3 linked regions of the Arabidopsis thaliana genome follow. The protein of the gene in region 2 interacts with the protein of the main gene of each other region in a pairwise test. Each region holds a gene or a part of one and is shown on either strand. Other genes may lie near its edges.

Region 1 (3,755 bases), on a different chromosome or scaffold from region 2:
ACAAAACAGCTTTTATGCCAAGCGAGAGTAGATCCGAATTGTGTTAAAAGTTCCCAAATATTCGCTGATGAGAAATCCATAACCCGTGAGCCTGTTTGAATGTTTTTAGTTTGGTATCTAACACCTATTTGGCCTGTCCCTTTACTCAGGACAGAAACTTGTTGAGACTAAAGGAAGGATATTTGTAGAGGTTAAATGAGACCATTGTATTCATATGATGGTGTCATGTGTCATATTATTGCAAGGGAACGTCGGTATGGGTATTTTGTTTATTTCCTTAAATTGTGGATCTTGCTACTAAATGATCCTACATAACCCATAAAATATCAAAAAGTTTTTGGTGTTGACCATCTTCTTGTGCCTTCCAACATACAACGGTTTCATTGGATAAAGAGAGACGTAAAAGGGACTTTCAATTTGACATTTAACAATCTCAATGGAGGGAAAAAATATAAAGAAGTACTACTAAAACAATTGTTACCCACAAAGATAGATTCATGAGGAAGTAAGAAACAAAATACAACTCAAAAGAAGAAGATACAATGGAGTTCAAAAGATTCATGAACCTCTAATTAAACACCCATCCATCACTATGTAATATAATCAGCCATAACTTAAAAATATAATCGCAAAACTAAAACGTAGACGAACGAACACCGACAATGATAATCATACCTATGAAAATGCAAAATCCATCTTCCCAAATCATTCTAACCTTGAAGCTCTTATTTCCTGAAATTGCATTCTTGAATCAGAACAGATCAATCTTGGGTTTCGTTGCGTTTAGCTTCACTTTCCCTCTCTTCCAAAAGCTTCCCAGCTTCGTCATCACTTGCCTGAACCTTCTTCTGTGCATCTTTAGCCTTCAACGCCTGTAACTTGCAGTGATTGTAATATCCAACACCCAAAAAGGCAAGTCCATAACCAAACAGATTGATAGGTGTGACCGTGTCCTTAATCACCGACCACGAGAATGCAATCAAGAGCCAATCCTTAACCACACCAGCCACATTCATAGTCAAAGCAGAGGTTTTCCCAACGAGCAAGAACACAGCAAGATTCAAAGCAAACGCACAAACAGAATTGGTTCCAAAGATCACGAAATCGAAATGGAAACTCGAAGTATCTCTAAGAACTGGAAACTCCACAAAGATCCAAGGAACAGAGAGGAAAACCAAACAACAAGGAGCAACGTAATAGAGAGAAGTGATTGGATTTAGATTGATTCCTTTAGAAGTAAGCAAGATCTGAATCAAAACCAACCTAGTGGCTTCAAAAGCAACAGCACCAAGCTGAAGAAAAACACCCCAACCATCAAACTTAGCTTCACCATAAGCAGCAATAGCAACACCAAACGAGATCGAAAGCATGTTAGTCATAGTCTGAGATTTGAAAGTCTCTTTCTTCAACAAAACCCCGATTGAGTAAACTGCTACAGGCATTAGGGCTTTGAGCATTTGAATGAAGGAAACAGAGAGGTAGATGTAAGCAGAGTTTGATAACCAGAGAGAAAGTGAGTACAACGCGCCGATTGGTACGACGGATCTGAGATAAGTCTCGCGTGACATTGAAACAGGCTCGACGACTTTGAAGACTTTGATGAGAATCACAGCTAAGGAAGAGCAAAAACCCATGTGGATCATGGTGAGAGTTATTGGGAATGGCCAATTATACATCTTCTTGTCGAGGATGTATTTGTTGTAGACGATGACTGTGAAGCTGAGGAAGATCCAGATTGCGACATAGGTGTATGAAAGGATGATCTTTTTGATCACTCCGTCGGAAAGTGCACGACCTTTCCCCATGGCGGTGGGTTTGTTTTCGCCGGAGAAGAAGATGGTGGTGGTGGTGCGCAGGATAAAGGATTAAGAGAGAGAGGTGCGCACGATAGAAGTCTCTCTCTCTTTGGGTCAATGTTTTTGGGTTTGGGGGAGAAAGAGACTTTGAGTTTGGTCTTGTAATGTAGAGGAAGGGCTTACGTGACTTTGTTATGCTACGTGGCGAAAAGGTGCGCGATTATTTGACGATTGGCGTATTGTGGGACCCGCATTTTTAATCATCTGTTTTCTAGTGGATTTATACTTAGTCTTTAAATTATGAAATAAATGTAACAAATGTTTTGTTTTGAACTCTTTTTTTAGTCAATTACGTTTTGTTAATTTCTCTAGGGTTTTTTAATATTGCGGAAAACTCACAGAAAGGAACACAATTTTACCTTAACTAATTTAGTAAAAATTAAATATTTGTATATCTTAACACTAAATAACGTCATTTTTGTTATAAAATTAATAAGCCAGTTATTTAGATAAAGTATGTGATGATGTATGTTTCCTGAAACGGCTTTTAGTCGAAACTCTTTAAGTTTACGTTGCCTTAAATTAATGACGAATCCCTAAAGCTATTAGTTAGAGACTTAAGAGTAATTAAATGGAAACTTGTAACGAAGAGAGTATGCGAAGTAAATAAATGGGAGAGAGTAACGATGAAACAAAGAGTCAACGTTTAAATTAGAGCGCGTGAATCTCACATCGCGACAGTTTTGCTGCGTCCCTCTTACGTTGCATTATTGGTGCCTTGGTGGTGGTGCTAATGTAGTTGTCGCAACGTTTGTTGGGTTACTTCGGGTCCAGAGTCCAGACGGGGTTTGTTGACCGACTCAGTACTTGTACAAATACCTGTCAAAATCTTGTCTTTCGCTCGCCTGATAAAATATTATTTGGTTTTGATTGTGGAATTATTCTGTTCAAAACTTCAAATGATTCAAACACTCAAAAGTCAAAACAAAAGCTTCTGGTGTAGAGACATTACAATATTTTTTTTCGACCATACATTTTCTATTAAATATATCATTTATTTGGTGTTGCCTAATCTGAAAGTTTAAATTTACAAAAAAAAAAGTTAGTAATAAATCTATAAATTAAAACGACTAAAATAATTTGGTATCTTATCATTCGTCTGAATACATATACCAAATTCAAAGTGAGATTATAAATTTTTCAAAACCGTTTCATGTGACAAGAGACTTTTTGGAAATCCCACGCCAAAGTTACAAAGGAACATTATTTATTTTGTAACTACAGTAACGTTTGCAAAAATAAATAAATTATCCGTAGTTACTACTTTCGGAACATTTGTTTTACGAAGAGTCTGACTGTCACATGGACAGCATTTCACCGATTACGTGACGTGCGAGGAAGTCATGTGGCCATATATAAAGTAGCTACTAACTTCCCATGTTCTGCACGCCAATTGCAAAAATACTTCTACTAATGTTTAACCAATACAGGCATATAGCGAATGAATCTTTTGCAAAGAAAGAAAAGAAACATTTTAGGAGGGAAAAATAAGTTTGTAGCAAACCGATTATGCAGTTACATTTACATTTCTCCCTTAATATTTATCTACTTTGTTTCTCTTTTACAGAGACATCATTTAGAATTTATAAATTATAATTACTAATAAGGGAAGCAAAGTTAATGAATAGAGACAAAACAAGAAACAGAGAGCTAGTAACGATAGAGAGAACGAAACAAACGATTCAGCCCGAGAGAACGAAACAAAAGTGGCGGATATGATAACATCAAAGTCGATCATTTTTTTAATTTCCGTTTTAAGGTGATTTTAGTTATTGAGTACTTATTATTATTATGATCTAATAAGTGCACAACTGCTTGCTTAGTAACTAGTAGTTCTGGTTACTTGAAATACAGGCTAATTGGTAATTCAAAATACGTAAAGTAACAAATATTATTTTT
Region 2 (3,755 bases):
ACATTCTTTTAATTGGTATCCTAGGTGACCTTAAGTGGTTGATGGATGAATTAAATAAGTGCATTAACCAATTATATACATCTTTGTAAATAATAGCATATCCGATATTTCCCCTTTTACTTTTCGTTTTATATTTATTTTTATATTCTGCTTATATTAGTGGAAGACACTTCTTCCACCAAGTGAATGACACTTTCTGACTTGTTCGTTTGGTGCTCATCATGCTTTTGTTCTTCTTCCATTGATCTCCTTTGGTCTTGGTTTTGGTCTTTGATTACGACTTGCACAAGTTGTTGTTGTTTCTTTACTTTGATCCTGGTGGCTGAAATGGTCAAAGCTCCAAGTCCAAGGATGGCTAAGCAGCCTGAAGCTGCAAAGACACCGTCTTTGACCAAGTAACAATCTTCATCAAGCCATCCTTCTCCATACGCTTGAGCTCGACTCATGCTTATTGCGGTACTCAAAATCAATACCACTACCACAAAATTGGACCTGATCACATAGGTAAGGAAAAACAAGAACAGAGAATTATCAATATAGGAAACTAATCTCAAGAGATATTTTCTTTCTTATACTTTAGATGATACATCGCCTGATATGTTTAGAATCTTAGGGATGGGAAATATAACTCTCAACCTTAAAATCGAATCAAACCAAAACAAATTGATTAACCGAAACGATACCGAACTTTGCATTAGTGTCACCTAACAAACCAGTCCATATTTTCTTTAGATGTTATATTTTTTTATTGCATAAACATAATATTGGTGAACTTCTTATATATTTATATTTCGGTTTTATTTTTTCAACTACAGCCGAACCTAGTACAAAACAAAAACTAAACAGCCAAACCAAAATACAAATGGTTTTATAGGTTTAAGTTTTAGTAAAACCGGAAAACTAAACCGTAAACCGAATTACTCACTGATTCAAAATTACCCAATACAAAATTCAGTAAGATATATCGGTAGGTGGTTAAGGGGATTCTTGGTTACAGTTAGATGAGATTAAAAAAAAAAAAGAGAAGAGGAAAAATATTTTACCAGGACAGGAGCAATAGAACCGTAGGTAAAGTAAGATCAGTAATCTTGTAACCATCTTCTCTTTTAGTTCTTGTCCGGTGATTTCGGAACACAACTATGTTCCCAACGATCTGAGCAAGGCAGAAGCAAAGAACAGCGGCTGATCCAAGCCCGAACGCATGGCTTCCGGGTACATAGCAGTTCCTCTCTGTGTCCCATCGAATATCTTCTTTCTACACAAGTAAACTTTGGTTCGATTTGTCAATATAAAAAAACAAATTGAAGGAACTCGACGTCGTACCTGTGTTCTCTTGAACTCGGCTGCGAAACATGTGATGAAGGAAACGAGACCAAGAGAGAACACGACTGAGTAGAGAAAAAGGTTGTGCATAGTTTTTAGTGGACAAAATCAATCAGACGCACTTACATATATGTAATTCTGCAACATAAATGCTACACCTTAGATTATTTGAGTCAAATTCTCAGGGGGATTTATTTAATTATCTTTTAATAGGCTTGAGGAAAGTTCTTTAATCTACATAAGGATGGAAAATAAAGAGAGAGAATAAAATTCTTAATTATATCAAATGATAAAATTTCCAAAACCATTTTAAAGAAAATAGATGATGGCGTATACTTTTGATACAAGTACACAACACAAACTTAAAATTTTGGATATGTGACTATGTGAGGTAACTTCTCATAGAAATCTTCTTTGTCAACTAAATAATATGGAAATAAAAGAGAGGAGAATATTATCATACATTAAAATAAAATTTTTTTCCAAAACGATTAAAAGGAAATAGATGATTTGTGTTTACTAAAGACGAGGTCAAACGTAGATTGTTTGACTTACATACAAAGTGGCCTTAATAAAAAGAACAAAAGCATGATAATGGCATGGACTATAGAAGTTGAGTATAGATTAAGCCTTCCCAAGTTAAAGGCTTGAAACTTTTTGTATACATAATTTTTTGTTTGTTTTGTTTTAGAATTAAAATCTGAAATTTTAATATGATTTTTTATTTCATATCATATATTGCCTACTAGCTTAAGAAATATTATCCATTTTGCTCATCTTTATTTCTTATTTATCAAGCTGCTACTGCCTACCAGTGTTTACTAGTTATAGTTTACGAATAATTAAAAGAAAAGGAAATTTATTGCTAACTGATACTTTGACAAAGAACTTCTTAATATTAGTTTTATCAATTGTATAAAAAAAACATTTCATTTTAAAAAATATGTGGAAAACTAAAATCTATTTCAAACTGATGAACCCTCACTTCTTCTTCTTAAGAACATCAACAACATTAAGTCCAATACAATAAGCAATAGACTGAACGGTGACCATCGGATTAACCCCTAAAGCGGTCGGAAAAACACTTGTGTCCGCCACAAATAACCTTTCGACCTCCCAAGTCTCTCCTGTTGGCCTCACCGCGGATTCCTCCGGCCTAATTCCCATCCTACAACTTCCCATTTGGTGAGCTGAACATATCTGACCTGACAAATCCTTCAACGGCTTTGAACTCTCTTCTCTCACAAACCGCTCAATCTCTAACGAACTCGCTGTTCTAACATTCAGACTCCTACCTTCTGAATGATGCGTCCCAATCTCCTCGGCTCCGGCTGCGGCCAGAATCTTCAAGACTCTTTCAAGACCGTTCTTTAGACTCTCTTCGTCTTCATCGTTTAAGTTGTAGTCAATGTAGGTCTTGGAATCTATTGTTCCGGTTCCTTTATCTCTCAGAAGCGCAAAAATGTGTGCGGTTCTTGAAAATTTGAGCATTCGGGTTTTGAAATCCTTGCTTGATGTCCAGGGAATGATCCCTGAGAACATTCCTGGATGTAGAGCAGGTGTCTGGATAACCATTTCACCATAAGAACTATGCGTTTCTTCAATTACAACGCTAGACATCGCAGTCATTATTCCCCCCTCGTAGCTCTTTTTCTTCTTTTCCGGCCACTTATCTTCCTCTGGAAACCATCCCCAAGCCATAACAACCGGATGTAGACAAAGGTTTCTCCCAATGTTACTATTCTTCAAACCGCTACGTTTCAACAGATGCGGCGTTCTAAGCGCACCGCAAGCCACTATTGTCACTCTAGACTCCACCACATAAATCTCTTCCCCAAACGCAAACGCAACTCCAGTTGCCTTCTTCTTCTTCCCCTGTTCACAGTCGTACATGACTTCCGTCGCTTGACAACCTGGAAGGATTAAACCATTATCAGATTCCACCAAATCTACAAGCCAAGTCTCTGAAGTCCCCTGCTTTTGACCTTTCTTGCAACCCAAGCAACAAAACCCACAGTAATGATCGGATGGAGCATTCCTCGGAATATTCTTCACTGGTAACCCTAACTTTTCACAACCTTTTCTCAATACCTCATTATTAAACCCTTCTTCTACAAATCCGCATTGAACACCCATCCTCTTACAGACAACATCCATTGCCTCTCGATACAAATCACTTCCGAACATTTCGAGTTTTGACTTTTCTGCCCATTCCTTCATCACATGTTCTGGTGTCTTGATCGAGGCGGACCAATTGATTGTAGAACCACCTCCGACTGTGGATCCCGCAAGAATCACTACGTTCGTATCGGACGTCGCTAATAACCCACCGGATAAATACATGTCATCCATAGCTTGCCCTTCAAGTAAAGAAAGTTTGCTTCTTGCATAGTAATTCCCTGACTCAATCACCAACACTTTGTAACCAGCCT
Region 3 (3,755 bases), 3.7 Mb from region 2:
ACAACCCACGTGTATAAAAACCAGAGCATTGTGCACATTGCACTCCAAAGAAAACCCACACAAAACAAAAACCCCAAAAAAAACTAATCCTTCTTCTTGTCTTTCAACGGTCCTCTTGGGATTTTGCTGAATACCTTTGCGTCCAACACAGCGTATTGCTTCTTCAACTCAGCCATTGCTTTCTCACCGTATGAGTCTACTTTGTCTTCGTACTTGTCGTAGAAAAGAGGAACAGTGAAGAGCAGAACCAGAGCTGGACCAAATCAATAACCGTTCATCAGCAATGTCAGAATAAGAGAGAAGGCAGAAGCAAAATACTTTTAGCAACAGTAAGTGTTACCTATGTATGCCAATGTCAAGAAACTATAGCAGCCGCCCAAGATCGATAGAACCCACAATCCGGCAATAGCCTAATTCAATCAAACAGTACAATAAGTGTCAAACTTAAGTGAGACATCGAGAGAGGAGTAACGAGTAAGTCCAGGACAGTTTAAACATACAGAGAGGAACTTCTTGATATCCCTCCCCGACGCAATCTCACGAAGAGAAGAGATCCCACGGTTGATTTCGATTCTAAGACCCGAAGCAAGCTGAAGAAGAGGTTCTTCAGGGATATGAACTTCAGGAATCTTTGGTGGAGACCTGAAAGAGAATGAAAATTTGGTAACGAAGATGAGTCAAATAAGCTTGACAACCTTGACCTGTTTCATATGATTGACCACAAAACTTACTTGTGAATGAACATAGTGGCATTAGACCATAGAAACAACACAGCAAGAGCAACGATCATAACGTGACATAACAGAGTAAGAAGATGATACTCCATCAATTCAAATAGCACCCATGCCACTGTAGCACCGCCAAATACACCTCCTGACATTTTCTTGTCCTTCCACATAAATATATCTGCCGCTGCAATTAAAAAGATCACCAAATTAGGGTTTATCAATCACGAAATAAGAACCATATCATCAATAACTACAAGAATCTCACAAGATCATTATACACATTTCCAAAAAAAAAAAAATCAATTCCATCACAAATTCTCTCAAACTAGTCAGAAATCAAAATCGAAATCGAATTCAAATCAATGTAAACCTCTATGTAGATTCAAACGATCTTCTTCACGGATCCCTTAAACTAGTGAGAAAATCAAACAGATCAAGCCAACGCAAACGAATTCGTTTTAAAAAACTGAGAACAAATATCGAAACGGGATCAGAGTAAACATACGTTTTCCGCCGCCGAGAACCTTATGAACAGGTCTCTCTCTTCCGAACAAACGATAAACCTTCGATTTCAAAGACTTTGGAGACGATGACGAAGACTTCTTCTCGTTTTCGTCATCTGATGATGATGAAGACGACGAATCACCTTTGTGATGGATCTTCTCCGATAACTTCTCCATCAACGATTCCCTCTCTACAACCTCCACTGCTGGATCCAAATTAGGTGAAGATTCTTCATGCTTATGTTCATCCGCCATTGTTTCCGATTCAAGAGAAGAAGAAGAACGATCAAAGTTATTGTTCTAGCGTTTTCGTTACACCTCTGAGAAGAAAGATCTCGAAGTCGAATGAAAAAACCAACAATAAAAGGAGGAAAATTAGAATAAATCTGAGCCGTTGAATATTTTGTTTCTGATCTGATCCGTTGGTTGGTTCGGATCCAAACCTGCTGCTTCCTTAACTAGAGCGATGCTTAGGAAAAGATAAATGTCGTGGGGACATATAAAAAGTGTTTTCACAGGACCGAGATGTTAACGCTGTTAAGGATAACGGCTTTTTAAGTCACGTGTAATTAACGGCTCTGTTATTAAAATGGCTATTAAACTTTTCTGGTTCAGGTGTCACGCGGCTGGACAAAGAAACGGTCGAACCGGTGGTCATGTGACACGTGGTTGAATCGTAGCCGCTTGCTTATGTGACTCATGTACTTTCGGTCTGCATTCAAAAGACAATGATAATTTAATTATCTTGACACTAAATTAAAATAATATTTTGCTGCTGGCCAAAAAACTAGAAAATAAAAATATTAGAGAAGTAGGAACCGTCTCTTGGTTAAAAGAAGTGTTTAAAAAAGAATGCTCTAGAAAGTGAAAAAGCATTTAACTTGACAGCGTTAGCTCGAGTCGTAATATGGGCCCAATGAGCTAAAACAATGATGAAGCCCAGTTACTTTCTCATGTCCAAGAAAGCAAATATGATTCAAAACCGAAACCATGATTCTAAACCGGTCAAGAACCAAGGAACAGTGAAATTTTTGAGGCTTTTGAGTCAGTTCGGGTTTAAAAAGACCCTTTTCCCCAGCTTTCTTCATTCATTTTCAAGTTGATAACCAAATGGGCCAAACTAGTTATCGGCCCATAATAATAAGAGAGCTCAAAGACAGGCCCAATAATAAGTGCTCAAATTTGAAAACAATTGAACAGACAGAACCAATCATCCCAATGATCCCATCATCCCCCTTTGTTTGAATTTCTCATTTTTACTCCTTTACACTCTTTTTTTCTTCACAAGCTTTAACTGTGACTTTTTACATTTTTTAACAGTCCTACTCTAGATGAAATGGTTAAAAGTTGGTATTTGTGATACACAAAACGAAAAGAAAACACAACAAGTAGGATACGAGAACGAACATGAACATTGATTCATTCATTCAAAAAACCATAATCGTGGGGGATTAATCCTTTTACCAGTTAGAACTGTTCTTTGTGGAAATCGAACCTGGTAATTCCCGTCTGGTTAAATTCATGGCAGAGTGTTGAAAGTTCCTTCCCCAAACTTGGAACTCCACAATAGAACACTCCTGTAACAAACAAAAAAACATTCTTCAGACAAGGCAAATATACACCGCGATATCGAATATCATTTCAGTGAACTGATGTTTCTGTGTGTTACCAATTCTTGCGTTCCTATGTTTGGTGCTAATCTTTGATAAAACTTTCTTCCATTTTGGCCTCCCAAAATGTGTCCTTACCTAAAATAACCAAAAGTTGTTATACAAGATCAGAAAAGAGTGTTGTTTGTGATAAAGTAATCAACTAATCATTAAAGATCATTACCTTGGTTCCTGAAAAAATGTCGACGCCATTTTTGGCATGGTTTAACGTTTGGATCATAGTGAGAAGATTGGATCGAGTATCTCCTTCTTCGTAGACGCTAGTCAAGTAGTTGTGCATCTCAATAACACCCTTGTAGTTGTTCACAAGACAAATACGTCAGTGAGTAACTTGAAATCATACAATCTTTTGAATTTAAAATGAATAAGTGTATTGTTTTTACCTTTCTATCTGAATCAGCAATCTCGTTCATGATTTCTTTGAACCAATCGAACGAGCCTTGTTCTCGTGTTACCCAGTAAAAGTAAGCATTCTTGGTATTCAGCGTCTTCCGTTGAGTTTGCGGAATCCGACTCGCAGCTTCTGAGTTTAAGCAACTGAAACTGTGATCCGACGAGATGTTGCTGTTACTACAACTACCTGAGATGCATTCCTGAGAATATAACATAACTCCAAAAAAGTTTAGTTGAGATTCTGTTACTCATCAACAAGGTTTTTAAGCTTGTTATACTCACAGCTTGTTCCTGTTGCTTAATAATGTTATTGAGTAGATCTCTCAAAATGCTAACGAAAGGTGTTGCGCCGATTCCAAGGCCAACCAGTAATACCACATCATACTTCCAATGGTCTTGCGCTGGAGCGCCATAAGGTCCATCTATCAACAGCTCTGGAAAACTATATTACAAGAGAGAGT

Evidence for each region.
Region 1: the proteins of AT4G19370 (region 2) and AT2G25520 interact in a two-hybrid assay, tested with the Arabidopsis thaliana proteins (one large-scale study listed by BioGRID).
Region 3: the proteins of AT4G19370 (region 2) and BTI2 interact in a two-hybrid assay, tested with the Arabidopsis thaliana proteins (one large-scale study listed by BioGRID).

Annotation. Positions count from the first base shown.
Region 1 is NC_003071.7:10,859,000-10,862,754, reverse strand, and holds AT2G25520 (Drug/metabolite transporter superfamily protein), read right to left. Parts: upstream 2,088-3,755; 5' UTR 1,806-2,087; coding exon 762-1,805; 3' UTR 345-761; downstream 1-344.
Region 2 is NC_003075.7:10,566,123-10,569,877, forward strand, and holds the start of AT4G19370 (chitin synthase, putative (DUF1218)), read right to left. Parts: upstream 1,717-3,755; 5' UTR 1,414-1,716; coding exon 1,324-1,413; intron 1,256-1,323; coding exon 1,044-1,255; intron 493-1,043; coding exon 141-492; 3' UTR 1-140. Other genes in the region: AT4G19380 (Long-chain fatty alcohol dehydrogenase family protein), read right to left, coding at 2,305-3,755. UniProt on the Arabidopsis thaliana protein: Together with MWL1, contributes to secondary cell wall biology, specifically lignin biosynthesis.
Region 3 is NC_003075.7:6,838,093-6,841,847, forward strand, and holds the start of BTI2 (VIRB2-interacting protein 2), read right to left. Parts: upstream 1,945-3,755; 5' UTR 1,487-1,944; coding exon 1,234-1,486; intron 913-1,233; coding exon 732-912; intron 643-731; coding exon 501-642; intron 411-500; coding exon 341-410; intron 254-340; coding exon 84-253; 3' UTR 1-83. Other genes in the region: AT4G11230 (Riboflavin synthase-like superfamily protein), read right to left, coding at 2,699-2,808, 2,901-2,979, 3,065-3,193, 3,285-3,494, 3,577-3,736.